Linked DNA regions of Anolis sagrei. The protein of the gene in region 3 purifies or fractionates together with the protein of the main gene of each other region. This does not show direct contact. Links are inferred from orthologs where the notes say so. Each region holds a gene or a part of one and is shown on either strand. Other genes may lie near its edges.

Region 1 (7,131 bases), on a different chromosome or scaffold from region 3:
TGAAATGTATAAGCTGTACTTTTATTCTGCCTTATTCTTAAATATACTACGGTAAATATAAGAAAGTAAACTGTTTGACTCAAGCCGGAATGCTTCTCAGCCTCAGGCAAATAATCAGACCTCACAACCTCTGAGGATGCCTGCCATAGATGAAGATGAAACGTCAGGAGAGAAGGCTTCTAGAACATGGCCATGTTGTTGTTAGATGTTAGGTGATCCCTCGTTGGCCGAGTAGGATAGTCTTCCAGGATCAGTTTTCTGGTGGATCTGTAAGTGACTATGGAGCCGTACTCTTGATCTGCATCTTCTCCCGCAGAGAGGGCATTGGTTTCCAGGTGGAAGGCGGTGTCGGTCGGGGTTGGCTTGATGCGCCTTCCTCTTAGCATGTTTCTCTCTTTTGCCCTCCATTCGTGCCTCTTCAGATTCTACAGCACTGCTGATCACAGCTGACCTCGAGCTGGAGCACTCAAGGGCCAGGGTTTCCCAGTTCTCAGAGTCTATGCCAGAATTTTTAAGGTTGGCTTTGAGCCCATCTTTAAATCTCTTTTCCTGTCCTCCAACATTTCATTTGATATTCTTGAGTTTGGAGTAGAGCAACTGCTTTGAGAGACAATGGTCGGGCATCCAGACAACATGGCCGGTCCAGTGGAGCTGATGGCAGAGGACCATCACTTCAATGCTGGTGGTCTTTGCTTCTTCCAGCACGCTGACATTTGTCCGCCTGTCTTCCCAAGAAATTTGCAGGATTTTCTGGAGGCAGCGCTGAACATGGCCATACAGCCCGAAAAGCCTACAACAACCCAATATAACAAAAGATAACAATAGCTCTCAACTACCCAACTGCAGCCTCCCCAATAGGCATCTTTGCTAAATAGCCAAGACTACAGAGATCAGCTTCCATTGTTCTCACAATCCCATCATCCCCACCCTGGACCCCTGCTGGCATGGAATGCTAGCACTTCCTACAGACTCCTCTCTGTCCATACTACTTTCCCTATCTGGCTGGGAGGGGATTTCCAGCCACATCAACAGAGCTCGGCCAACCAGAAACAGAAGAGGGATGGTTCAAACTGGAATAATGAACATTGTGTATAAAAACTGTTGTGCAGAGCACATGCTCTCTTATGCTTGTAATTTTTTGGAGCAGGAGTTTACAAGCATCATCTTGGCCAAGATTAAATAAATGCCTCTGTCCTATGTCTTAGCTTCACTTTTGTTATTATGGTTGTCACAACTCACCAGGCCTTTCCCTCTCATTTTACTCCAGTCTAAATTCCATATCTGTCCATTCTCAACAAGTTGTGATAATTTCATTCAAATGCATTTTAAAAAAACCCAGAAACAAACTAGGTTTTTATTCGAAACTGGCTTCTTCATATTTCCATGAAGAAAATATTCCCTGGGTGGTAAGAAAAAAACACATACAAAAATATGACAGAATACTGAAGCACCCTTCAAACTGTAACAAAAAAAGGGGGTTAAGACTGCTGTCTTTGTGGCACTTTTCCATCTCAAAACTGTCCCAGGTTATGGCATGAGCCCTATTAGTCTGTGTATTTAACCAAATAAATTAACAAACTCCAATCCCCTGACAGTGGGTTAAACAGAGCCAGCATCACACTGCATCCCAGTAACTTCTTCCATCTTCCTAGGGTTATCCACTCATCTTGTATTTATGCAACACCTCTCTCCTATATCTGTCTCTCAATGACACGGACAAACTTCGTCCCTCCAGGTGTTTTGGACTTCAACTTCCACAACTCCTAACAGCTGGAGAGCTAAAGTTTGTCCATGCTTGCTCAATGACCATCTACTGCTAATACATAACTTGCCACTTATCATCACCATACCCACCACCTTTGCATTTCTATGGCAAGTCACATACACAGAGTCTGAGGAAGCAGATGGACTGTTTTCCCACTGCATAATTATAGTCGTCTGACAGCTAGGCCCAGTGCTTGGGATTTAGGAGTTTTAAGTTTGTTTCCCAGGGAGGCTAGAATGGAAGCAAGCTAAACACTTTATATTCAAGTAGGTATGAGCCGGGGGTGTTGTGTGGCGTTTAATAGGTATTTGATAGGTATTTTGAACAGTTTTTAATTTTTTTTAAAAAAAAATAGATTTAACCACAGTCAGTCCTCGAGCTGCAAACATGCAACTTACAAATGACTCCTAGTTAAGAACAGGGGTGAGCCAACAAGAAGTGAGAGAAATCTTTCCCTTGGAAGGGAAATTAACTTCTGAAAGAGTCATCATGTGAAAAAAGGTGTCTCCAGTGATGCTTTATCAGCAATCTTATTTCCAGAAGTCAATTTTTTTTCAAAATCCAATTATCATAGGGACAGAAAGTGAGGTGAAATCCTCTGAACGGGGCCACTGACAGCAAAACAAACACCATGGCGGTGTAAACCCTTTCCTATGCTATCCAAAGCTAAATAATTTATAGAGAGAGAGGGGAGGGGGGGGGGGAGAGAGCTGGAGTTACACTTTTAAAATGTACCTGTTCCAGCTAACAAACAAATTCAGCTTAAGAACAAACCTACAGAACCTATCTTGGTAACAACTTGGGGACTGCCTGTATATTTCTGTTCTAGTGTTTATATAGTTTAGGTTCTGATTTGTATATTGAATTTTTAGAATGGTTTGCTGCATTGAGTCTCTTTTTAAGAGTAAAGATGGGATCTACATATACTGATAATATAATTCTGCAGTGCAGCTGCTACCATTTTTCTCTCTTATTTAGCCCCAAATATGCCACAAGACCCCTTTTAATTCACATGTAACCAGAATATCAAGGGAGATAATCCACAATAGCCGTTTTGAACTGGGTTATCTGAATCCACACTGTCATATAATCCAGTTCAATGAGGAATTTATACACCTGTGTATTTATTTATCATGTCAGTAGCAACCAGACAATTGGATTACATTTTAAACAAATTTTTAACAAACAGACAAAACAGAGTTTGCAAGCTTGGTAGTTGATTAAATGTCCTTTGACCAGTATCTGGCCACTTGGGAGTGCCTCTGGTGTTGCTACAAGAAGGTCCTCCATTGTGCATGTGGCAGGGCTCAGGTTGCATTGCAGCAGGTGGTCAATGGTTTGCTCTTCTCCACACTCGCATGTTGTGGATTCCACTTTGTAGCCCCATTTCTTAAGGTTGGCTCTGCATCTCGTGGTGCCAGAGCGGTCTGTTCAGCGCCTTCCAAGTCGCCCAGTCTTCTGTGTGCCCAGAGGGGAGTCTCTCATTTGGTATCATTGAGGCTCTGGGTTTGAGCCTGCCAGTTTTGGACTCTCACTTGCTGAGGTGTTCCAGCGAGTGTCTCTGTAGATCTTAGAAAACTATTTCTTGATTTAAGTCGGGGTGATTTGAATGCAATATTCCTGCTTCTTGGCAGGGGATTGGACTGGATGGCCCATGAGGTCTCTTCCAACTCTTTGATTCTATGATTCTACGTGCTGGCTGATACCCAAACAAGGGATGAGCTGGAGATGTCTCTGCCTTGGTCCTTTCACTATTGGCTGCTACTTCCCACCTGCGTAGAAGGAGCCTGATACTCATCTAAAATGGCTACAATTAACTGTGGAGTATAAAATCCACATTAAACTGGGTTATGTGGCAGTGTGGACTCAGGGCCCTTCCACACAGCCTTATATCCCAGAATATCAAGGCAGAGAACCCCACATTGAGTGTGGAGTCTGATAACCCAGTTCAAAGCAGATATTGTGGGTTTTTCTGCCTTGGTATTCTGGGTTATATGGTTGTGTGGGAATACTATAAGAGCTGCAGTTTTACAAGGCCTTTAGCCTTCTCTGCCAAAGCAACCCTTTTAGAGTTACTTCATAGCAGTTGAAAGTAGTGTCAAACTGCATTAATTCTCCAGTATAAAGGCGCCTTATTTCTGTGAACGCGATCCCACAAAATAAGGGGTCTTATGATGGACTCGGAAGGGAAGCCCCGCTTACTCCTGCGCTGTATAAAAGCTGAAGCTGCGGCGTCCCTCTCGGTTTCCCCGCCTTCCCCTTGCCGTTCCAGTGCGCCTGCGCAAAGGGCTCTCGCGCGGCCACTCCTCCCATCTCCCCCTCCCAACTCCCTCCTTCCGCCCCCGAAAGCGGAAGTGGACGTCGAGAGAACAAGCGCGCGCCGCCCCCCCCCCTCCATCTCGCTGGCTGCGCTTCTTCGAGCTCCACAAAATGGCGAAGATCGCCAAGACGCACGAAGGTAAGAGAAAAAGAGGGTGGTTTCCGTTTGCGGCTTAAAACCCCGGCCGCTTAGGCCTCGAAGTCTGAAGGCGCTGTTTTTCCCTCTCGAAGGGCGGCGCTCCTTGGCTCCAGGAAGCTGAAGGGAAAGGGCGCCTGAGCGGGCCAGGCCTTCGCGTAATGGCGTCGTCGCTGAGGTGTCTCAAGGCCTCGCCGCTCCTTCCCCCTCCGCTCCAACTATTTCGCGTGAACCCGAGTGGCCGGGAGGGCAGCGCAGAGGAGCGGGGTTGAGGAAATCGAGGCCCGCGTGTTCTTCAAGCCAGGCCTCGAGGAAGCAGTCGTGGCCTCTTCCTCCCTTGCGCACGCAAAATTGTGAACATATGGGAAGGGGAACATCCTTTTCTACGTTTTCTTCCTGGGAGGCAGCCTTTGTGCCTCCTTGTGGGTCGTTCTTTAATTTAAAAATAGGCCTGTTAAAATGCAGGTTGGAGGAGGAAGGCTCATCGTAGAATTAACTCCGTTTGACTCCACTTTCAACAGGAGGCCCTTCCACACAGTGCTATATCCCAGAATATCTAGCAGAAAATCCCACATTATCAGAATGTGGACTCAAATAACCCTGATCAAAGTAGATATTGTGGGATTTTCTGCCTTGATATTCTGGGCCATATGGTTGTGTGGAAGGACACTGAGATATCTGGCCCCTTCCACACAGCTGCATAAAATCCACTTTGAACTGGATTATATGGCAATGTAGACTCAATTAACCCAGTTCAAAGCAAATATTGTGGGATTTTCTGCCTTGATATTCTGGGCCATATGGTTGTGTGGAAGGACCCTGAGATATCTGGCCCCTTCCACACAGCTGCATAAAATCCACTTTGAACTGGATTATATGGCAATGTAGACTCAAATAACCCAGTTCAAAGCAAATATTGTGGGATTTTCTGCCTTGATATTCTGGGCCATATGGTTGTTTGGAAGGACCCTAAAATGTCTGCCCCCTTCCACACAGCTGCATAAAATCCACATTGAACTGGATTATATGGCAGTGTAGACTCAATCCAGTTCAAAGCAGATATTGTGGGATTTTCTGCCTTCATATTCTGAGCTATATGGCAATGTGGAAGTGCCCTGAGTCCACACTGCCTCATATTCCAGTTCAAAGCAGATAATGTGGGGGTTTAGGCGTCTGTGTGGAAGAGACTTGCCATGTCTCAATGCACTGGGATCCCAGGAGTTGTAATGTTACAAATCCTCCTGGCAAAGAGTGCTCGTGCCTCGCCAAAACACAACCCCCAGAATTCCATAGCATTTAGCCGCAGCAGTTAAAGTCACGTCAAACAGCTTTCATTCTAGACTGTAGAAGGGCCCACAGTGTTCTGAGGCCCCTTCCACACATGTGCATAATATCCACATTGAATAATAATAATAATAATAATAATAATCTTTATTTATACCCCGCCACCATCTCCCCAAGGGAACTCAGGGTGGATAACATGAGGCCAAGCCCGACAATTATAATAAAGCAAAGAAAATACAAACAGCAAAACTAATAACATCAAATAAAATAAAATGCAAAATAAAATAATACAGTAGGGTAAACACAGGATATGAAATAAAATAAACACAATGGGCTGGGCCAGATGAAAGGGATAGAATTATAAAACCCTGGGTGAGATAGGTAAATAGAGTAGTGTATCTGGTCGGAGATTCAGATGGGACAACGATGGGGTTTAATTCTCACTAGGGGATGTGATAAAGCGCATCAAAAGGACAAATTTGTACTGGGACGGTCATGGTATGGGGATTTGTTATTCATTCTTCAAAATCACGTCGAACAGCCATGTTTTCACATTTAACTGGATTATATGGGAGTGTGGACTCAGATAACACAGTTCGAAGCAGATATTGGAGGTGATTTGTTGTAATGATTGTGTGGAAGGGTCCTGAGCTGTCTCTCTGCAAGCTTTAAGGAGGATTTGCTTGTGGAATCCATGACCTAAATTCAGTTATTAGTCCCAACTGGAAAGTGAGTCACTGCTCCCCAAGCGGCCATCTGTGTTAGGGCCCATCCACACAGCCATATAGCACAGAATATAAAGGCAGATAATCCAGAATGGATTATCTGAGTCCACACTGCCTTATAATCCATTTCAATGTGGATTTTATACAGTTGTTTGGAAGGGGCCATAGGATTATCTGCTTTGATATTCTGGATTATATGAGTCTATACTGCCACATAATTCAGTTCAAAGCAGATAATTTGGATTTTATATAGTAGTGTAGAAGGGGCCTTTATGTAAGCGCCACCAAATCATTGAGTCAATTCCGATTTTGGCCCATGATTTTTCCATTGATACAAATGAGGAAATGACTAATCCATTTATATAGATGGGGAAATAATTACTCCATTTAGGTTGCTGTGAGTTTTTCAGGCTGTATGGTCATGTTCCAGTACCATTCTCTCAATTTTTCCTGCTTCTATGGCAGAGATCCTCAGAGGTATTGATATAAATGGGGAAATAACTACTCCCATAAGGAACATGCTACCCCTCCAATTTCATGTAATTGTTTGCATTCATATTGTAATTATTGTCTGTCAAGAAGTGCCTATCCATTTCAATATCTATGTGTTCACAAAATATGAGTAAGTTTGGGTTTGTTTTTCAGTTTAGACACTGTGTTTTGAGCAGTATGTTTTGAACTCAGAACACATTGAGAATTCATCTGTTGATGAGCATTAAACAACAAATGTAATTCGAGAATTACAGTAAAAATTAGCAATTTTTTTCCTGTGGCTGACTGATTAGTATGAGTTTGAATGAGCAGTATAGTACACAAATATTCAAGATTGAATATTCTTGTTAAAATAAAGCATTGGATTCTACCTTTCATGCAGGAAGAATATTATATGCTATGCAGGAAAT
Region 2 (8,007 bases), on a different chromosome or scaffold from region 3:
TCAAATCTCAGTAGCTCAGGACACAATTGCAGTACCAGTTGAGTTATCTGAAATACTTGGGGCCAGAAATATTTGGACTTTTTGCAGATTTTGGAACACGTACATGTACATATGGAAATATCTTCAAGCTTGGACCCAGTCTAAACATGAAATTCACTTATGTTTCATGTACATATTGCCTGAAAGTTATTAGTCACAGTATTAAAAAATGTTTGTATGAAAGGAAGTTTATGTACATTGAACAAAGGTGTCACTATCCAAGCCACTCATGTGAACAATATTTGAACTTAGAGGATTTCAGAGTTCCAGATAAGGGATATTGTTTATTGCTTGTTGTTTAATATTGCTTAAACTGTTTTTAATTTGCTTTAGGTTGTGTATTGTTATGTTATATTTTGAGGCCTTGGCCTTTGTAAGCCGCATCGAGTCCTTCGGGAGATGCTAGCGGGGTACAAATAAAGTTAATAATAATAATAATAATAATAATAATAATATTCAACCTGTATTGGTATCCTGTAACATTTTCAGAACAATTACTTTTCCTCTTGCATCATGCATTGCATACTGATGGTACATTCTTTTGCCACATATTGTTAGCTTTAGGCCCATCTTTAAACCTATTTTGTTATTCACCAACATTCCATTTTCCTAAGTTTGAAATAAAGTAACTGCTTTGGGAGACAGTAATTGGGACAATTACATGTAATTGCATGGAAGTGGAAGAAGACAACAGAATAGGAAGGACAAGAGACCTCTTCCAGAAAATTAGAAACATTGGAGGTAAATTTCAGGCAAAAATTGGTATGATAAGAAACAAAGATGGCAGGGACCTAACAGAAGCTGAAGAGATCAAGAGAAGGTGGCGAGACTATACAGAAGATCTGTATAGGAAGGATAACAATATCGAGGATAGCTTTGACGGTGTGGTGAACGAATTAGAACCAGACATCCTGAGGAGTGAGGTTGAATGGGCCTTAAGAAGCATTGCTAACAACAAGGCAGCAGGAGATGATGGGATCCCAGCTGAACTGTTTAAAATCTTAAAAGATGATGCTGTCAAGGTGATGCATGCCATTTGCCAGCAAATATGGAAAACACAAGAATGGCCATCAGACTGGAAAAAATCAACTTATATCCCCATACCAAAAAAGGGAAATGCGAAAGACTGCTCAAACTTCCGTACAGTGGCCCTTATTTCTCATGCCAGTAAGGTAATGCTCAAGATCCTGCAAGGAAGACTCCAGCAATACATGGAGCGAGAGTTGCCAGATGTTCAAGCTGGGTTTAGAAAAGGCAGAGGAACGAGAGACCAGATTGCCAATATCCGCTGGATAATGGAGAAAGGCAGGGAGTTTCAGAAAAACATCTACTTCTGCTTCATTGACTATTCTAAAGCCTTTGACTGTGTGGATCATAATAAATTGTGGCAAGTTCTTGGTGGGATGGGCATCCCAAGCCACCTTGTCTCTCTCCTGAGGAATCTGTACAAGGACCAAGTAGCAACAGTCAGAACTGACCACGGAACAACAGACTGGTTCAAGATTGGGAAAGGCGTACGGCAAGGCTGCATACTTTCACCCAACCTTTTTAACTTGTATGCAGAACACATCATGCGATGTGCGGGGCTGGATGAATGCAAAGCTGGGGTGAAAATTGCTGGAAGAAACATTAACAACCTCAGATATGCAGATGACACCACTCTGATGGCCGAAAGCAAGGAGGAGCTGAGAAGCCTTCTAATCAAGGTGAAAGAAGAAAGCGCAAAAGCCGGGTTGCAGCTAAACGTCAAAAAAACCAAGATTATGGCAACAAGAATGATTGACAACTGGAAAATAGAGGGAGAAACCGTGGAGGCTGTGACAGACTTTGTATTTCTAGGTGCAAAGATTACTGCAGATGCAGACTGTAGCCAGGAAATCAGAAGACGCTTACTTCTTGGGAGGAGAGCAATGTCCAGTCTCGATAAAATAGTGAAGAGTAGAGACATCAGACTTGCAACAAAGATCCGCCTAGTCAAAGCCATGGTATTCCCTGTAGTCACCTACGGATGTGAGAGCTGGACCTTAGGGAAGGCTGAGCGAAGGAAGATCGATGCTTTTGAGCTGTGGTGTTGGAGGAAAGTGCTGAGAGTGCCTTGGACTGCGAGAAGATCCAACCAGTCCATCCTCCAGGAAATAAAGCCCGACTGCTCACTGGAGGGAAGGATACTAGAGACAAAGCTGAAGTACTTTGGCCACATCATGAGGAGACAGGAAAGCCTAGAGAAGACAATTATGCTGGGGAAAGTGGAAGGCAAAAGGAAGAGGGGCCGACCAAGGGCAAGATGGATGGATGGCATCCTTGAAGTGACTGGACTGACCTTGAGGGAGCTGGGGGTGGTAACGGCCGACAGGGAGCTCTGGCGTAGGCTGGTCCATGAGGTCACGAAGAGTCGGAGACGACTGAACGAATGAACAACAACAATTGGGACAACATGGCTAGTCCAGTGAAGTTGATGGTGGAGAATCATCATTCTAAGAGGAAGACATGAAGCAAACCCTTGTCATCTGGAAATTTATGTCCTCAATGTGAAAGACCATGTGGTTCCAGGCTAGGACTGACCGCCAAGACTCTACCTCTGGAAGACAATCATACTTGGCAGGGACTGATCGCCCATGATGATGACTGATAATGCAATATAAATAAATGAAAAGCCATTTATGAAAATAACAACTTTAAAATATGACATTATATTGATACACTTACAGGAAAAGTGGCCTGAGGACAGTGTTGTACTGGTCTCAGGGTCTTTAAGGTTAAAATTCCAGGACTTTCTGATTAGCAGAGTGACAATGTCATCTCTCCTCTTTGACTCAGTTCTCGCCTTTTCTTTAGAGATGAAAACCCTATACTAGTTGCAGGTTGGGGAAAGGGGGTTGTCCAAACAATAATACACTGTTTGGAGTGTCTTTATTGTAATACATAATATTTTGGGAGGGTTTGTTCTGAAGGGGCGGGGTTTCTGGGAACCCTTGTTATTGTTGCTATGTGCCATCAAGTCAGTCTTATGAGTATCTTATGAATCATAGCTTTCACTGAGTCATACATAACAGCACTGCTCTGGTTTTGCATATTCAGCGCTTCAGCTTCCTTGACTGAGAGCCCATCCACACAGTCACATAACCCAGAATATCAAGGCAGATAGTCCACAATATATGCTTTGAACTGGTATCTGAGTCCACACTGCCATATAATCCAGTCCAATGTGGATTTTATACAGCTGTGTGGGGCCTGAGTCAATCCACCTGTAACACAGGCCCTCCCCTCCTCTTTATCTAGCGTTATTGCCTTTTCTTGTGAGTCATGCCTCTTCATGATTATGTCAAAAGATTTATAGCCTCATTTTCATCAAGGAAAGGGGAAAGAATATATTCAAAAACACAGCTAAGGGAGGCCTGCCTTAAATTATTTTGGAGCCAGGCATGTGCTTTTAAAGAGAGTCTTTCCCCTTCACTTTATTTCTGATCCTTTTTGACCCCTTCTTTGTTTTTCTTGTTCTGCAATAGCTCAGTGGAAGGGAGGTTTGGCTGTAGATTTTTCTTCTCAATTTTAATTAACTTAGTATTTAATCCTGCTTTTACATTTTGATTTTAATCCAGTTTCTGGTAATTATTTAATGCTTGATAGTTGTTGTTTTCTTTGAGCCCTTCTATTTTAGGAGCCATGAGGAGAGCCCAGTAACAAATAAAATTTATTATTATTATTATTATTATTATTATTATTATTGTGTCATTGAAGGCTTTCATGGCCGGAATCATTGGGCTGCTTTAAGTTTTTCGGGCTGTAATAATAACCCATTATTATTATTATTATTATTATTTGTCATATATGCTGCAGTAGTTTAGCAGGAAGAGTTTCTTTGGAAGATGTAATTATCCCCAGTTTAATACTAGCTTTCTGCACAGTTTACCTTTACTTATTAATTAATCCTACTATTTTCATTTTAAATCAGTTATTTTAATCGTTACTTATTATATAATCCAGATTATCAAAGCAGATAGTCCTCATTACCTGCTTTTGAAATGGATTATGAGTCTATACTGCCATATAATCTTGTTCAAATCAGATAAACTAGATTTTATATGGCAGTATAGAAGGGGTGTTGGTATCTGTCTGTATCTTGTCATATAATCCAGATTAAAATAATCCATATTATCTGTTTTGAACTGGATTATATGAGGTCCCTTCTATACTGCCATACAAAATCCAGATTATCTGATCTTAACTGGTTTATAGGAGGCCCCTTCTACACTGCCATAAAACCCAGATTATCTGTTGAACTGGATTATATGGCAGTGTAGACTCATATAATCCCAATCAAAACACATATTAGAGATTATATGGCAGTGTAGACTCATATAATCCCAATCAAAACACATATTAGGGATTATATGGCAGTGTAGACTCATATAATCCCAATCAAAACACATATCAGGATTTGTATGGCAGTGTAGACTCATATAATCCCAATCAGAACACATATCAGGGATTATATGGCAGTGTAGACTCATATAATCCGAATCAAAACACATATCAGGGATTATATGGCAGTGTAGACTCATATAATCCCAATCAAAACACATATCAGGGATTATATGTCAGTGTGGACTTATATAATCCAGATCAAAGCAGATTTTAGGGATTATATGGTAGTGTAGAAAAGGCTGCCGTTAGCTAAACTTCCCTATTATTCTTGACAGGAAGTTCTTCTAGGAAAGAACTCCCCGCTTGTTACTTTGCCGGAGTGAAAGGATGGGGACGCCTCTAACCCGGTGCCTGCTGGGAATTGTAGTCTGTTTGCAAGTAGCCCCAAGCGCTTGATACGGCCAATGGCATTGGCAAGACTACTATTCCCGGCATGCATCACGGAAAAGTGCTCCGAGGCGAATTGAGAAACGCACGCCGCAGCCGTCCCTCAGCAAATCTCGCGAGATCTCCCCTTGCGATCTCCGCGTCCCACCCCCGCTGACTCTAATTAGGGGCCGCGCGGTGGCCGACGGGAGCAAGGGTTTCTCTCCTCTTCGTTCCCCTCGCGAGGCTTGGTGCTTGCCGATTTACACCGCGGATCATTCGGCGTTTGGGGAGAACGGGACTGGAAGCGGGGGCGAGAAGCGAGGGAAAGCCCCCCCCCCTCCTTCCTCAGGGCAACCCTTCCTCGGAGCGCTTTGACAAAATGGCGGGCGACCTTCGCGCTGCCCGCGAGGCCTGCCGGGACTCGTAGTCTTTCCCGCCCTTCCTGTGAGCGTCCGCGGGCCCGGCTTCCTGAGGGGAAGGACTACGTTTCCCATGATCCAACGGGGGAGGAGAAGGGGCAGACGGGAGCGAACTGGACGGCCGTGAGGGGACAGCGCAGGCGGCCCTCCCCCTTTCCCCGTCACCCTGCGCCGCCGCGGCTTCGTGCTGCCGCGTCGGATGAGGTAGTCGCGCGAGCCAGTGGCGCAGGCCGCGGCCTCCCTTGGGCTGCGCGAGGGAGGCAGGCTGGGTGAGGGAGAGGCCTACTCCGCCGAGGAGGCCTCGGTCTTCCCAGCTGCGATTGGTAGGGTGGGGATTGGGGCGGGGGGGCGGCGAGGACGCCGAGTGGCGGGCTTTTTTTTTGGCCAGGCCTTGAGCTGGAGGGACCTGCGCGGTGGGGTTGTTTTCGCCGAGGGGAGCGGGGTTGAAATGGGGTGGTTTTAGCCAGGCCGGAGAAGGTGTGGGTGGGAAGATAAGGGAGCCTTTTAGGCCCACGGAGGGAGGGCATCTGCAAGTCAATACGAAGGTAGAAGGCAGCACGAAGCTTAAAACGGGAGGGGGGGGGGGTTGTAACCAAATATCAAGGCAGGAGACATATTTCTTCTTAGAGTAAATACAATATCAGGAGAGGAGGCATATTCCTTTTTAGAGTAAATACAATATCACAACAGGAGACCTATGCCTTCCTAGAATAAATACAGTATTGGGACAGGAGACATATTCCTTCCTAGAGTAAATACAATATCAGGACGGGACGCATATTCATTCCTAGAGCAAATACAATATCACAACAGGAGACAGATTTCTTCTTTGCTTAAATACAGTATCAAGACAGGAGATGTATTCCTTCTTAGAGTAAATACAATATCAGCACAGGAGACATATTCCTTCTTAGGTTAAATCCAGTATCAAGACAGGAGATGTATTCCTTCCTAGAGTAAAAACAATATCAGCACAGGAGACATATTCCTTCTTAGAGTAAATACAATAGCAGGACAGGAGGCATATTCCTTCTTAGAGTAAATACAATATCAGCACAGGAGACATATTCATTCCCAGAGTAAATACAGTATCAGGACAGGAGACATATTCATTCCCAGAGTAAATACAGTATCAGGACAGGAGACATATTCATTCCTAGATTAAATACAGTATCGGGACAAGAGTCATATTCATTCCTAGAGTAAATACAATATCAGGACAGGAGACATATTCATTCCTAGAGTAAATACAGTATCAGGACAGGAGACCTATTCCTTCCTAGAGTAAATACAGTATCAGGACAGGAGACATACTCATTCCCAGAGTAAATACAATATCAGGACAGGAGGCATATTCATTCCTAGAGCAAATACAATATCATGACAGGAGAGATTCCTTTTTAGAGTAAATACAATATCAGGACAGGAAACCTATTCCTTCCTAGAGTAAATACAATATCATGACAGGAGACATATTTCTTCTTAGCTTAAATCCAGTATCAAGACAGGAGATGTATTCCTTCTTAGAGTAAATACAATATCAGGACATGAGACATATTCCTTTTTAGCCTAAATCCAGTATCAAGACAGGAGACGTATTCCTTCTTAGGGTAAACACAATATCAGGACAGTAGACACATTCCTTCTTAGCCTAAATCCAGTATCAAGTCAGGAGATGTATTTCTTCAAAGAATCAGGAGGCTTAAGGGGAGGGGAAGGTTGCAACCAACCATCGAGATGGGAGACATGATCCTTCTTAGAGTAAATACAATACCAAGAAAGTGAACATATTTCTTCTCCGAGTAAGGAGGCTTAAGGAAAGGGGAAGGTTGCAGTCAAACATCAAGACAATAGACCTATTCCTTCTCGGAGTAAGGAGGCTTAAAGGGAGGGGAGGATTGCAACCAAGCATCAAGATGGGAGCCATGTTCCTTCTTAGAATAAATACAGTATCAAGACAGGAAACATATTCCTTCTTAGAGTAAAGGCACTATCAGGACAAGAGATGTTTTCGTTCTTTCTTAGTCTAAATGCAGCATCAAGACAGAAGATGTAGTCCTTCAAAGAATCAGGAGGCTTAAGGGAAGGTTCCAAAGAAAGCATCAAGATGGGAGACATGATACTTCTTAGAGCAGTGGTTCTCATCCTGGGGTTCCCAGATGTTTTTGGCCTACAACTTCCAGAACTCCCAGCCAGTTTACCAGCTGTTAGGATTTCTGGGATTTGAAGGCCAAAAACATCTGGGGACCCCAGGTTGAGAACCACTGTCTTAGAGTAAATGCAATATGAAAACAATAGACATGTTCCTTCTTAGAGTAAGGAGGTTTAAGGGGAACAGAAGGTAGCAGCCAAACATGAAGATGGAAGACATGTTTCTTCTTAGCGTAAGGAGGTTAGGGGGAGGGGAAAGTTGCAACTAAACATCAAGATGGGAGCCATGTTCCTTCTTGAATGTAAATACAACAAGACGAGAAATATTCCTTCTCAGGGCCCTTCCACATAGCCATGTATCCCAGAATATCAAGGTGGAAAATCTCACAATATCTGCTCTGAACTGGGTTATCTGATCCACACTCAGATAAAGTGGAATTTTCTGCCTTGATATTCTGGGATATAGGGCTGTGTGGAAGGCCCTTAGAGTAAAGACAATATCAGGACAGTAGGCGTATTCTGTCAAAGAATCAGGAGGCTTAAGGGGAGGGGAAGGTTGCAACCAAACATCAGGCCAGTAGATATATCCTTTCAAAGAGTAAGG
Region 3 (6,993 bases):
CTTTTTGCTTTTCTCTGGAGATTTTTCAAGCAGAGTCCATCTGTTAGGATTGTGTCTTTCCTGCTTGGCAGAATGGGGTTGGATTGGATGGCATTTCAGGGTACCTGGTTACCAGGGGAATATAAACTGCCTCGGAGTGTGAGGAAATCTCCTTATCTGGAGGTTTTTAAGCAGAGGCTGGGTGGTCCTTGGGGTCCCTTCCAGCTCTAGGATCCTATGATAGATAGAGCTCTAAACACACATACATCCAGGTGTTGGACTGGATGGCCCTTGGGGTTCCTTACAGCTCTATGATCCTATGATAAATAGAAAGACAGATACATCAATAGATCTCTATACACACATACATAACGAGGTAATTGTTCTATGATTGATTGATTCACTGACAGATCTTTATACACACAGACATCAGGGGTTGGACCAGGGATCCCCTTGCAGCTTTAGAATCCTATGATAGATAGATAAAATGAACTCTAAATACACATTCAGGGGCTGCATTGGATGACCCTTGGGATCCCTTCCAACTCAATGATTCTATGATTGATATAAAGATATCTAAAAACACATACATTCAGGGGTTGGACTGGATGGCCCTTGGGGTCCCTTAGAGCTTTAGGATCGTATGATAAATAGATAGGCCTCTATACACACATACAGAGATTGCACTGGGGGCACTTGGGGTCCCTTCCAGCTCTAGAATCCTATGATAGATAAAAAGAACAAACCCTAAAATTCATCCAGGGGTTTGACTGGGCAGCCCTAGGGGTCCCTTCCAGCTCTAGTATCCTATGATAGACAGAAAGATAGATTCATAGATAAATCTCTATACACACATACATCCAGGGATTGGACAGGATAGCCCTTGGGGTCCCTTCCAGCTCTAGGATCCTATGATAGATAGATAGATAGAGCTCTAAGCACACATACATCCAGGGGTTGGACTGGATGGCCCTTGGGGTTCCTTAAAGCTCTAGGATCCTGATAAATAGAGAGATAGATACATCAATAGATCTCTATACACAAATACATACAGGGGTAACAATTCTATGGTTGATTGATTGATAGATCTCTATACACACAGACATCAGGGGTTAGACCAGGTAGTCCTTGGGGTCCCTTCCAGCTCTAGGATCCTATGATAGATAGATAGATTCATAGATAGATCTCTATACACACATATATACAGGGGTAACGATTCTATGGTTGACTGATTGATTGATCTCGATACACACATACATCCAGGGGTTGGACTGGATGGCTCTTTCAGCTCTAGAATCTTATGATGGATAGAAAGATAAGACACATAGACAGATCGCTAGACACATAAATACAGGGGTTGGACTGGGTAGCACTTATAGCTTTAGAATCCCATGATTGATTGACTGACTGATAGATAGATAAAAAGAACTCTAAACACACACCCAAGGTCTGGACTGGATGGCCCTTGAGGCCGCTTACAGCTCTAGAATCTTATGATAGATAGATAGACAGATCTCTAGACACATACATACCAAGGTTGGACTGGGTAGCACTTGGGGGTCCCTTACAGCTTTAGAATCCCATGATTGATTGACTGACTGATAGATAGATAAAAAGAACTCTAAACACACATCCAGGATCTGGCCTGGATGGCCCTTGAGGCCGCTTACAGCTCTAGAATCTTATGATAGATAGATAGACAGATCTCTAGACACATACATACCAAGGTTGGACTGGGTAGCACTTGGGGGTCCCTTACAGCTTTAGAATCCCATGATTGATTGACTGACTGATAGATAGATAAAAAGAACTCTAAACACACATCCAGGATCTGGCCTGGATGGCCCTTGAGGCCGCTTACAGCTCTAGAATCTTATGATAGATAGATAGACAGATCTCTAGACACATACATACCAAGGTTGGACTGGGTAGCACTTGGGGGTCCCTTACAGCTTTAGAATCCCATGATTGATTGACTGATAGATAAAAAGAACTCTAAACACACATCCAGGATCTGGCCTGGATGACCCTTGGGGCCCCTTTCAGCTCTAGAATCTTATGACAGATAGAAAGATAGAGACATAGACAGATCTCTAGACACATACATACTGGGGTTGGACTGGGTAACACTTGGGGGTCCCTTACAGCTTTAGAATCCCATGACTGATTGACTGACTGAAAAAGAGAACTCTAAACACACATCCAGGGTCTGGACTGGACGGCCCTTGGGGCCCCTTTCAGCTCTAAGATCCTATGATAGATAGAAAGATAGAGACATAGACAGATCTCTAGACACATACATTGATTGACTGACTGACTGAAAAAGAGAACTCTAAACACACATCCAGGGTCTGGACTGGGTAGCACTTGGGGGTCCCTTACAGCTTTAGAATCCCATGACTGATTGACTGATAGATAGGTAGGTAGATAAAAAGAACTCTAAACACACATCCAGGGGCTGGGCTGGATGGCCCTTGGGGCCCCTTCCAGCTCTAGGAGCCTATGATAGATAGAAAGATAGATAGATCTCTATACATTAAGCATGGGCAAACTTCGGCCTGGTGTTTTGGACTCCAACTCCCTTACATTGTGGGAGTTGGGAGTCCAAAACACCTTGAGGGCCAAAGTTTGTTCATGCCCTGCTATACACATACACATCCCGGGGTTGAATTGGGTGTCCCTTCCAGCTCGAGGATCCTATGATAGAGAGATAAACAGATAGACAGACAGAGCACTAACATACGGCTCCAAAGGCCCGGCAGAATTCGTTCCCGAGAGAGAGAGAGAGATATCTCTGTGCGGGCTGAGTAGGCCTCAGGCCTCGCGCTCCTCACCTGGCCCGGCGGGGAGGGGTCGGGGAGCGGCAGCCGCCAAAGGCAGGCAGGCGGGTGGGCGGGCGGGAAGGGGCAGGCGGGGAGAAGCCGTTCCCTGAAGCGGCGCGGCAATGGCCTCCCTACTGGCGGCGAAGCAGGGCGGCCATGGCGCAACGTCATCCGGGCGCGACGGCAACGGCGAGCGCGAGGCGGCTCTAGGAAAAAAGGAGGCGGAAAAGTGGGCGTGGTCCTCGATGCGCGTGCGCAGTAGAGGACAGCCGGGAGGCGGAGCGACGGGAGGCGTCGTTAGCCAATAAGAAAGCTGAATTCTAAATAGAGCTGAGGGAGGAAAAAAAAAAAGATTGAGACTACCAAATTGCGCCTGCGCAGAAAAAAGGGCGGGGAATCAAAGTGGAGTCGTGATAAGGCAGGCCCGGTAGCCAATCGGAGCCAAGGAAAGGGAGGTGGGCGGAGCAATGGAGGAAAGTGGGTAGGCAATAAGGGAGGAAAGAAGGGACTGAGTTGATGCGAAGTGCGCGTGAGCAAAAAGGCAAGCGGGGAAAGGGCCCGGATAGCCAATCAGAGCCGGGGAAAGAGAGAGAGGCGGGGCGACGGGGGAAAGTGGGTAGCCAATGAGGGAGCTGCATTCTCAATGGAGAAGTAAAAGGAGGAGTAGCATCAATAATAATAATAATAATAATAATAATAATAATACTTTTTGTATCTTAAAGAATTAAAATGCAATAAAAACACAAACTGTGAATAATATTTTTATTTCTTAATTAAAATGCAACAAAACAAACATGAATATTAGCACCTTTTATATATATATATATATAATAATACTTTTTGTTTTTTAAGTAAAATGCAATAAAAATACAAACTGAATAATAATAATTTTATATCTTAATTAAAATGCAATAAAACAAACATGAATATTAGCACTATTATAGATATATATAATACTTTTTGTTTCTTAAGTAAAATGCAATAAAAACAAACTGAATAATAATATTTTTTTAATTTTCTTAATTAAAATGCAATAAAACAAACATGAATATCAGCACCTTTATTATATATATAATAATAATACTTTTTGTTTCTTAAAGAATTAAAATGCAATAAAAACACAAACTGAATAATATTTTTATTAATTAAAATGCAACAAGACAAACATGAATATTAGCACTTTTTATTATATATATAATAATACATTTTGTTTCTTAAGTAAAATGCAATAAAAACACAAATTGTGAATAATAATATGTTTTATTTCTTAATTAAAATACAATAAAACAAACATGAATATTAGCACCTTTATTATATATATATATATATATTAATAATACTTTTTGTTTCTTAAACAATTAAAATGCAATAAAAACACAAACTGTGAATAATATTTGTATTAATTAAAATGCAATAAAACAAACATGAATATTAGCACCTTTATTTCTTAAAAAGTAATACAACAAAAAGTATAAATAATCATACCTTTTGTTTCTTAACAGTTGAAATTCAATCAAACACAAACTATGAATAATAATAAATTTATTTCTTAAGAATTTAAATGCAATGCAAACATAAAAAGTAGTGATAGCTTTTATTTCGTGAGAATTAAAATGCAATACATTTTTAAAGTACAAGGTTTATCTGGAAAACAAGATTACAAGGCACGTAGCTCTCGCAGGGAATTTTCTCGGGAAGTTGGCATCACTTCCATGTAGCTAATGAGCAGTGCCAGTTGTCAGCAGCTCATCGACTGGCGTTTTGGTGAAGGTTAGAGATGTGCACCCTCATTCTGTTTCCCTCCAAGTGCAAAGTTCGCACTGTAATATGCTACCTAAATGCTAAGGGCAAGAACGCCACTGTGATTCATGGTGAAATCATTTCAGTTTATGGAGAGGACATAATGTCAAGATAGCAAGTGACAAAATGGGTATGGTGTTGTAGTTCAGCCTGTGATTGTGTCTGATGGTCATGACAGAAATGGAAATGAAGGGCTTTCTGGGCCTGGGTCTGTCAGCAATGGGGATGAGGGTTTGCTTGGGCTTGAGTTAACCCCAGACGAGAGGCCCAAGATGTCCCATGAAGATTCACAAGGTCACATTCCTGGGAGAGGCCTTCAGCAATCTTTCTCAGAGGGCCCATCCAGACAAGACCTTTATTGCAGGAACTCCTGCAATAAAGGAAGGGCTGTCCAGACAATGTTCTGGACAGTCCCACATTATTTATTTATTTCTCAGCCCTTCTGATTGGCCCAGACGCACCGCAGCAGCCCTGTGATTGTCCCACGCGCTCAGAGGGCAGCTGAGCCTCCTCCCAGCTGTTGTGGCATCAGCCAAGTGGAGGGCGGGGAGTGGGAGATTTGAACCACACAACTCTGCATTTCTATAAAAGTGGCATTTATTTGTGTAACCACATGATTAGCTTGGCGAATGATTGCAGCTCTGCATCCTTTTCAGCCGAATCGCTAAATATTGAGTATTTGTGCCAAGTTTGGTCATTGTTTAAGTCCACAGTGCTCTCTGGATATAGTTGAACTACAACTCCAACACTCAAGGTCAATGCCCACCAAACCCTTCCAGTAGTTTCTGTTGCTCATGGGAGAACTGTGTGCCAAGTTTGGTTCAATTCCATCATTGGTGGAGTTCAGAATGCTCTTTGATTGCAGGTGAACTATAAATCCCAGCAATTACAACTCCCAAATGACAAAATCAATTTTTTTAGAGAAGGACATACATTGGGTTGCTAGATGTCTTGTGTCCAAATTTGGTGTCAATTCGTCCAGTGGTTTTTGAGTTCTCTTAATCTCACAAACGAACACTACATTTTTATTTATATAGATTTAAATACAACAAAAACAAACAGTAGTATTACCAATATTAATAATACATTTGATTTCTTAATTTGATTTCTTAGAAATGAAAATGCAATAGAAACACAGAAACTTAATTCAATAGCAATGATCCATGACAGTTCGGCGTCAAACTGCATTAATTCTGCAGTGTGGATGTACCCATGAAGGTTTGGAAAGTTCATTAGGGAGTTGGCTTTCCAAGATATCTAATGATATCTATGCAAGGATGGCAAAATCCAGATAAAATCAGAAATGTGGTCCATTTCGGATAAAGGATGCTCAACCGTACAGGGTGGCTTTTGTGTTTGCAAACGCAAGAGGGAGCTCAGACCCAACAAATAATACAAAGTAAGCTGAATAAATGGTTTGCTTCCAACTTCAAGGAGCCAAATCATCAAACAGAATGAAACTCTGGCACAAATCAAAGCTGGCTTGCTAGGCGTGAGCTCCAACTGGGCCCCTTCTCTCCAAAATGAGCATTTTAATAAGCCCTTTATGATAATCCTAGAGAAGAAGAAGAAGGCCAAACGTCAAGGGATTTTAAACATGAAATGATAGCAGAAAGGTTGGAAAGTATTATCATTGCAATATATACCAATTGCTATGTAGAATTAATGCAGTTTGGCATCACCTTAACTGCCCTGGCTCAATGCTATGGAATCCTGGGAGTTACAGTTTGTATTTATTTATTTATTTATTTATTTATTTTATATACCGCTTTTCTCAGCCCTCAGGTGACTCAAAGCGGTGAACAACATCAATACAAAACATCACGAGACAAGCATAGGGCAATTAAGAACAATTGTAACATAAATCATTTAACATCCGTATAACAATAATTAGTGCCTCAACAGTAAAATCAGAATCCAGTCTCATCATCCATTATTCCGTATTCCTATGTTCAATTACACTGTTTAATCAAATGCTTATTCGAACAGCCAGGTCTTCACTTTCCTCCAAAACGCCAGCAGGGAGGGAGCCGATCTGATATCTGCAGGCAGGGCGTTCCACAGCCGAGGGGCCACCACTGAGAAGGCCCTGTCTCTCGTCCCCGCCAAGCGTGCCTGTGATGCAGGCGGGACCGAGAGCAGGGCCTCCCCAGATGATCTTAGTACCCTTGGACCTTGCAAAACTACAACTCCCAGGATCGCATAGCATTGAGCCAAGGCAGATAAAGTAATGCTGAACTGCATTCATTCAACAATGTAGATACGCCCTTGGTAAAGCATCTCCATAGTATTGTTATTGGTATTTATATCTCACTTTTTCTCTCTCAAGCAAAGCTCAAGGCAGCTAACATGGTGCGTTCTGCACTGGAGAATTAATGCAGTTTGGCATCAC
Region 4 (7,034 bases), about 25 Mb from region 3:
AAAGTGACAGTTAATTTTCAGTCAGGAGGATGAGACCCTGAGAAGAGGGCAGAGTCAGTTAGGGCTCTGTGGTGTGAAGCGGTGTAAATTCAGTTAGTTCTTAGTATTTGTGAATATTTCTTCAGCAAGGGAGCTGAAGGGAAACCTCGTTAGATTGCTTGAGTTAAAAAGAATCTAACAGAGGGGGTTTTAGGATCGCCAGTAGTGGAAGACTGGAGATCAGTGGTTTGATCCGGTATAGGACAAACAGTGTGAATATTCACAATAGGGAACACTGAAATAATAAAGCACTTCACTGAAGAAGGAGTTTATAAGATTGTAACATCAGAAGCCTGAATGTATCTCGACCAAGCCATATTGTAACCATCAAGCATGTGTCAAGTTCAACATCTCAATATTGCAACAATTACGCTTTGTTAATAATAAACTTGTTCTCTTTGTATTTTAAACCTGCCTCCTCCATTGATTTTATGTTCGGTGCATTCCACTCTACCAAAGTTACCTCACAACGTAAATAGGGATAAACAGAGACTTTAAGACCAGCGTCTCTAAACTTATTGGTGGCAGTTTAATTTAACATTCTAGGAACTTTCTTACATTTTTGGTGCCATTCGGTGAGATAAAGACTTCTTTACATATTTTTGGTGGCATTGATACGTTCTTTACAAGGTGAAAATGGAATGTTGGAGGACAGGAAAAGAGATTTAAAGATGGGCTCAAAGCCAACCTTCAAAACTCTGGCATAGACACTGAGAACTGGGAAGCCTTGGACCATGAGTGCTCCAGCTGGAGGTCAGCTGTGACCAGCAGTGCTGCAGAATTTAAAGAGGAACGAATGGAGGGTGAAAGAGAGAAACGTGCCAAGAGGAAGGCGTGTCAAGCCAAGCCCAACTGGGACCTCCTTCTACCTGGAAACCGATGCCCTCACTGCGGGAGAAGATGCAGATCAAGAATAGGGCTCCATAGTCACCTACGGACACACCCTGGAGGATTATGCTACTCAGACAACAATAGTCCACCTACAATCAAAGAGCATTCTGAACCCCACCAATGATGGAATTGAACCAAACTTGGCACACAGCTCTCCCATGACCAACAGAAAATACTGGAAGGGATTGGTGTGTAGTGTCCTTTGGTTTTGGAGTTGTAGTTCACCTACATCCAGAGATTCTGATGTGCCTTCCCAGAAAAGGATAACCTCCAGCACTATGTCCCAGAAGCACTTTATTAGAGTTTAAGACTCTCTGCACATTGCCCTTGCCCAGAATCCCAATATATCACCTTTCACACCCAGCACTTTTTAATCTGTACCCATCACTGGCCCGGCCCTGGTTTTATTGTGTAATGTTTTGTTTTCGTTATTGCTTATGTTTTTAATTTGCTTTGCATCGTATTGTTATTGTTTGTTGTTGTTGTTGAGGCCTTGGCCTGTGTAAGCTGCATTGAGTCCTTTGGGAGATGCTAGCGGGGTACAAATAAAGTTTAATAATAATAATAAAAGATCACTGTGAACTCAAAAATGATGGATCTGGACCAAATTTTGCATAAATACTCAAATACTCCATATGCCCAAATGTGAACACAGATGGAGTTTGGAGAAAATAGAATCTTGACATTTGGGAGTTGTAGTTGCTGGGATTTATAGTTCACCTACAATCAAAGAGCATTCTGAACCCCACCAAGGATGGAATTTGGCCAAACCTCCCACACAGAACCCCCATGAGGGCCACAGCAATAATATTATAAATATATGTTTACGCTGTATGTTTTGGGGATGTTACTTGGAAACCGGCCTGAGTATCCCTCAGGGAGATAGAGCTGTATACAAAGAAAGTTTATTATTATTATTATGATCACTAGTGGGGGTGGCACCGGGGAAGGGGGAATATCATGTGGTTGTTTATTCGGCTGAGGGGGGAAAGGAAGTGTCGTGAGGCGGTGAGGGATGGCGGGAGTGGCAGGCCAAAGGCCTAAGAAAGGAGGCTTGTCCTGGGGTGTCTTCCCCGAGTGGGCGGACCTGGTCTGCTGGATGGCGGCGGCGAGGCTGACGAGGGAGATCTGGCTGAGGTCGCGGCGGAGCTCCTCGCCCAGTTCCCGCGACTCCCCGGCCTGCACGCTCTCCCGCTCCGAGTCCTCGTCCGCCATCACGACCAGGCCGCGCAGAGAGACCGGAGACGAGGACGAATCCATGGCGACGAGGAGGAGAATGGCCTTCTTGGGGTGGTGGTGGTTGCTGTTGTTGTGGTTGCTGAGGCGCCGAACTCCCTCACTTCCGGCCACGCCCCCTCACTTCCCTTCTCTTCTGGCCCCGCCTATTTCCCCTAGGACCCGGATGGGAGTGGCAGCCTCAGCTTTCCCTCAGCTATGGCCACGCCTACTCTGTCACGTGACTCCCTTCAGTAGAAAGGCCGCTTTTCCTCACTTCTGGCCACGCCCCCTCAAGTGAATTTTAATAAGCAGGAGTTTCCTTTACTTATGGCCCCGCCTACTCCGTCACGTGATTCCCTTCAGTAGGAAGGTCGCTTTTCCTCACTTATGGCCCCGGCTACTCTGTCACGTGACTCTCTTAGGCTAAAGTCGGCTTTTCCTCACTTCTAGCCACGCCCTCTCGCGTAAATTTTAATAAGGAGGAGGGGCTTCCTTCACTTAAGGCCCCGCCCACTCCGTCACGTGACTCCCTTCACTAGATAGGCCGCTTTGCCTCACTTCTAGCCACGCCCACTCATGTACATTTTTAATAAGGAGGAGCTTCCCTCAGCTATGGCCCCGCCTACTCTGTCACGGGACTCCCTTCAGTAGAAAAGGCTGCTTTGCCTCACTTCTAGCCACGCCCTCGCATGCGAATTTTAATAAGGAGGAGGGGCTTCCCTCGCAATCGGCCACGCCTACACCGTCACGTGACGCTATTAAGTAGAAAGGCCAACTTTCCTCAGTTCTCGCCACGCCCTCCCAAGTGAATTTTAATAAGGAGGGGGAGCTTCCCTCGCAACAGGCCACGCCTATTCTGTCACGTGACTCCCTTTAAGTAGAAAACGCTGCTTTGCCTCATTTCTAGCCGCGCCCTCTCAATGTGAATTATTAATGAGGAGGAGCTTTCCTGACTTATGGCCCCGCCTACTCCATCACGTGATCCCTTAGTCTAAAGCCCGCTTTGCCTCACTTCTAGCCACGCCCTCTTATGTGCATTTTAATAAGGAGGAGCTTCTCTCGCAACCGGCCACGCCTACCCCATCACGTGACTTTCCCTAGCTTTGGATTGGAGTCCTTCTCTTTTGTCCCCTCCCTGATTACAAGGGCCTGCTTCTGGCCCCGCCCCTTGCCTACGTCACTCCTTGACTACAAGAAGCCGTTTCTAGCCCCGCCCTCTTTTTTACGTCACTCTGATTACAAGGGTCCGCTACCGGCCCCGCCCCTTTGCCCTACGTCACTCCCTGTTTACAAGAGGCCGCTTCAGGCCACGCCCCCTTTAGCTACGCCACTCCCTGATTACAAGACACCGTCTCTGGCCCCACCCCTTTTGCTACGTCACTCCCTGATGACAAGAGGCCGCTTCTGGCCCCGCCCCTTTCTCTACGTCTCTCCCTGATGACAAGAGGCCGCTTCAGGCCACGCCCCCTTTAGCTACGCCACTCCCTGATTACAAGACACCGTCTCTGGCCCCACCCCTTTGGCTACGTCACTCCCTGATGACAAGAGGCCGCTTCTGGCCCCGCCTCTTCGCCTACGCCACTAATCAGGGAGTGGCGTAGGCAAAGAGGCGGGGCCAGAAGCGGCCTCTTGTCATCAGAGAGGCTGCTTCAGGCCCCGCCCCGTTGCCTACGTCACTCCCTGATTACAAGAGGCCGCTTCAGGCCCCGCCCCCTTGAGTACGTCACTCCCTTTGGCCCCGCCCTCTTCTTCACGTGACCCTCTCTAGCCCTGATTGGGAGTAGTATCCGCTTTCCCGGACTTGTCACGTGACTATCTCATTTCCGGCCCCGCCTCTTCCTGCCTGTCTCCGTGACGCGACTTCCTCTCCTGTGGGCTGGGCCTCTGTTGCGCCTGCGCGCCGGAAGCCCTTCCCCGTCCCTCCCCGGCCTGTGCCGGCGGACTTTCTCGGGGCCGGTGGGCGCCACGCCGCCTTCGCCTCCTCCTCCTCCTCCTCGCTTCCCCCCTCGGGCCTGGCCCTGGCGCCGCTCTTCCCCGCGGCCGGTCCGCTCCCGTTCCCGCTCCGGGCCTTCCTCAGGTGGGCGCCCGCCTCGCACGCCTCGCACGCCCGGCCCTTCCTCCTCAGGCCTTCCGCCGCCTCCGCCTCCTCCTCCTCGGCCGCCATGCCGGGCCCCGCCGCAGGGAGCCGCGCCCGCGTCTACGCCGAGGTCAACAGCCTCCGCAGCCGAGAGTACTGGGACTACGAGGCCCACCTCCCCGCCTGGGGGTAAGCGAACCACGCCATCCATCCCAGGCCTAGGCCACCTTGGGCCCTTCCTCCCGCCTTCCAGGGGGTTTGGACTACAACTCCTATCATTCCTCACAGCCTCAGGCCCCTTCCTTTTCCCCCTCAGCCGCTTAAGCGGCTGAGGGGGAAAAGGAAAGGGCCTGAGGCTGTGAGGAATGATGGGAGTTGGAGTCCAAACCCCCTGGAGGGGGGGGGGGAGGGCTCAAGGTGGGCCAGGCCTGGGATACAACTATCTATCTATTTCAGGCCTCCCTCCCTCCCTCCAGTGGTTTTGGACTCCAACCTCTTAGGAATGATGGGAGTTGAACTCCAAATCACCTGAAAGGTGGGTGGGTGGGAGGGCCAGGCCTGAGCTGCATCTCCATTGGTATCTCTCTCTATGTACCTGTATCTATATCACAATAGCTATATCTGTATATACAAACAATAACAAATATCTGGATATTTCTGTCTGTGTCTATCTCAGACCTCCCTCCCTCCAGTGGTTTTGGACTTAGGAATGATGGGAGTTGAAGTCCAAATCACCTGAAGGGTGGGTGGGTGGGTGGGAGCGCCAGGCCTGAGCTGCATCTCCATTGGTATCTCTCTCTGTGTACCTGTATCTATATCACAATAGGTACATCTATATATACAAACAACAACAAATATCTGGATATCTCTATCTCGGGCCTGGACTACAACTCCCACTTTTTAGGAATGGTGGGTGCTGAAGTCCAAAACTACAGCTATATCTGTATATACAAACAACAACAAATATCTGTATCTATCTGTCTATATCTATCAGGCCTGGGACACTTTTTAGGAATGGTGGGAGTTGAAGTCCAAAACTATATCTGTATATACAAACAACAACAAATATCTGTATATATCTGACTATATCTCAATCCTGGGCCATCTTGGGCCCTCCCTCCTGGTGGTTTGGACTACAAATCCCACTTTTTAGGAATGGTGGGAGTTGGTGTCCAAAACTATAGCTATATCTGTATATACAAACAACAACAACAACAAATATCTGTATATATCTGTCTATATCTATCTATCTATCTCAGGCCTGGGCCATCTTGGGCCCACCTTCCCTCCTGGTGGTTGGACTACAACTCCCACTTTTTAGGAATGGTGGGAGTTGAAGTCCAAAACTATAGCTATATCTGTATATACAAACAAGAACAACAATCTATCTATATCTATCTCAGGTTTGGGCCCACTTTGGCCCTCCCTCCCTCCTGCTAGTTTGGACTACAACTCCCACTTTTTAGGAATGGTGGGAGTTGAAGTCCAAAACTATAGCTATATTTGTATATACAAACAACAACAACATATATCTGTATATATCTGACTATATCTCAGGCCTGGGCCATCTTGGACCCTCCGTCCCTCCCTCTAGTTTGGACTACAACTCCCACTTTTTAGGAATGGTGGGAGTTGAAGTCCAAAACACCTGGAGATAGGGAGGGAGGGCTCAAGGTGGCCCAGTACTGATCTACATCTATATTTATCTATCTCTGTGTGCCTGTATCTATATCTCTGACTATAGTTATCTATCTGAGGCCTGGGCCATCTTGGGCCCTCCGTCCTTCCTGCTGGTTTGGACTCCAACTCCCACCATTCCTAACAGCGATAGGAGTTGAAGAGCAAAACACCTGAGGGAGGGCCGAAGGTGACCCAGGCCTGATCTACATCTCTAGCTATCTGTATATAATAATAATAATAATAATAATAATAATAATAATAATATTTATTTATAACCTGCCACCATCTCTGGGTGGTTTGGACTCCGATGCCTGCACCTGTTAGGAATGGTGGGAGTTGAACTCCAAATCACCTGAAGGGACGGAGGGCCCAAGGTGGCCCACGCCTGATCTGCATCTCTATCTATTTGTATCTGTATCTATATAATGATGGGAGTTGGAGTCCAAAACCCCTGGAGGGAGGGTGGGCCAGGCCTGGGATACAACTCTATCTCTCTCAGGCCTCCCTCCCTCCAGTGGTTTTGGACTCCACCTCTTAGGAATGATGGGAGTTGAACTCCAAATCCCCTGGGGGGTGGGTGGGAGGGCCAGGCTATAGCTCTATCTGTATCTATATATCTATATCTATCTCAGGCCTGGGCCAATTTGGGCCCTCCCTCCCTCCCTCCAGGTGTTTAGGACTCCAACTCCCATCATTCCTAACAGCCAGTAGGAGTTGAAGACCAAAACACCTGAGGGAGGGCCCAAGTTGGCCCAGCCCTGATCTACACCTCTATCTATAACTATGTATGTGTATCTATATAAGTATAGCTGTAATTATATCTGGACCTACATCTCTAGCTATAACTATTTCTTTATCTATATCTATTTGTCTGTTTCTATGTAACTATAGCTATAACTATATCTGTATCGCTATCTGACCATATCTATCTATCTCAGGCCTGGGCCAATTTGGGCCCTGCCTCCAGGTGTTTTGGACTCCCAACTCCCACCATTCCTAAAAGCCAGTACGAGGTGAAGTCCAAAACACCTGGAGGGAGGGCCCAAGGTGGCCCAGGTCTGATCTATATCTATATCTATCAATCAATCTGTATCTATTTCTATGTACATACCCGTATCTACATAACGAT

Evidence for each region.
Region 1: the proteins of ZC3H18 (region 3) and SF3B1 purify together in Homo sapiens (affinity purification with mass spectrometry; 3 studies listed by BioGRID and IntAct, with this or other methods). This does not show direct contact. The link is inferred for Anolis sagrei from reciprocal best matches to the Homo sapiens genes ZC3H18 and SF3B1.
Region 2: the proteins of ZC3H18 (region 3) and SRRM2 purify together in Homo sapiens (affinity purification with mass spectrometry; 3 studies listed by BioGRID and IntAct, with this or other methods). This does not show direct contact. The link is inferred for Anolis sagrei from reciprocal best matches to the Homo sapiens genes ZC3H18 and SRRM2.
Region 4: the proteins of ZC3H18 (region 3) and CSNK2A2 purify together in Homo sapiens (affinity purification with mass spectrometry; 3 studies listed by BioGRID and IntAct, with this or other methods). This does not show direct contact. The link is inferred for Anolis sagrei from reciprocal best matches to the Homo sapiens genes ZC3H18 and CSNK2A2.

What each region holds. Positions count from the first base shown.
Region 1 is NC_090021.1:178,747,674-178,754,804, forward strand, and holds the start of SF3B1 (splicing factor 3B subunit 1), read left to right. Parts: upstream 1-4,110; 5' UTR 4,111-4,195; coding exon 4,196-4,223; intron 4,224-7,131. UniProt on the Homo sapiens protein: Component of the 17S U2 SnRNP complex of the spliceosome, a large ribonucleoprotein complex that removes introns from transcribed pre-mRNAs.
Region 2 is NC_090026.1:23,851,136-23,859,142, forward strand, and holds the start of SRRM2 (serine/arginine repetitive matrix protein 2), read left to right. Parts: upstream 1-4,992; 5' UTR 4,993-5,521; exon of another isoform or gene 5,522-5,575; intron 5,576-8,007. UniProt on the Homo sapiens protein: Required for pre-mRNA splicing as component of the spliceosome. As a component of the minor spliceosome, involved in the splicing of U12-type introns in pre-mRNAs.
Region 3 is NC_090028.1:26,528,278-26,535,270, reverse strand, and holds the start of ZC3H18 (zinc finger CCCH domain-containing protein 18), read right to left. Parts: upstream 3,021-6,993; 5' UTR 2,814-3,020; intron 1,052-2,813; exon of another isoform or gene 1,032-1,051; intron 1-1,031.
Region 4 is NC_090028.1:1,403,539-1,410,572, reverse strand, and holds the start of CSNK2A2 (casein kinase II subunit alpha'), read left to right. Parts: upstream 1-4,015; 5' UTR 4,016-4,310; coding exon 4,311-4,414; intron 4,415-7,034. Other genes in the region: CFAP263 (cilia- and flagella-associated protein 263), read right to left, coding at 2,018-2,190.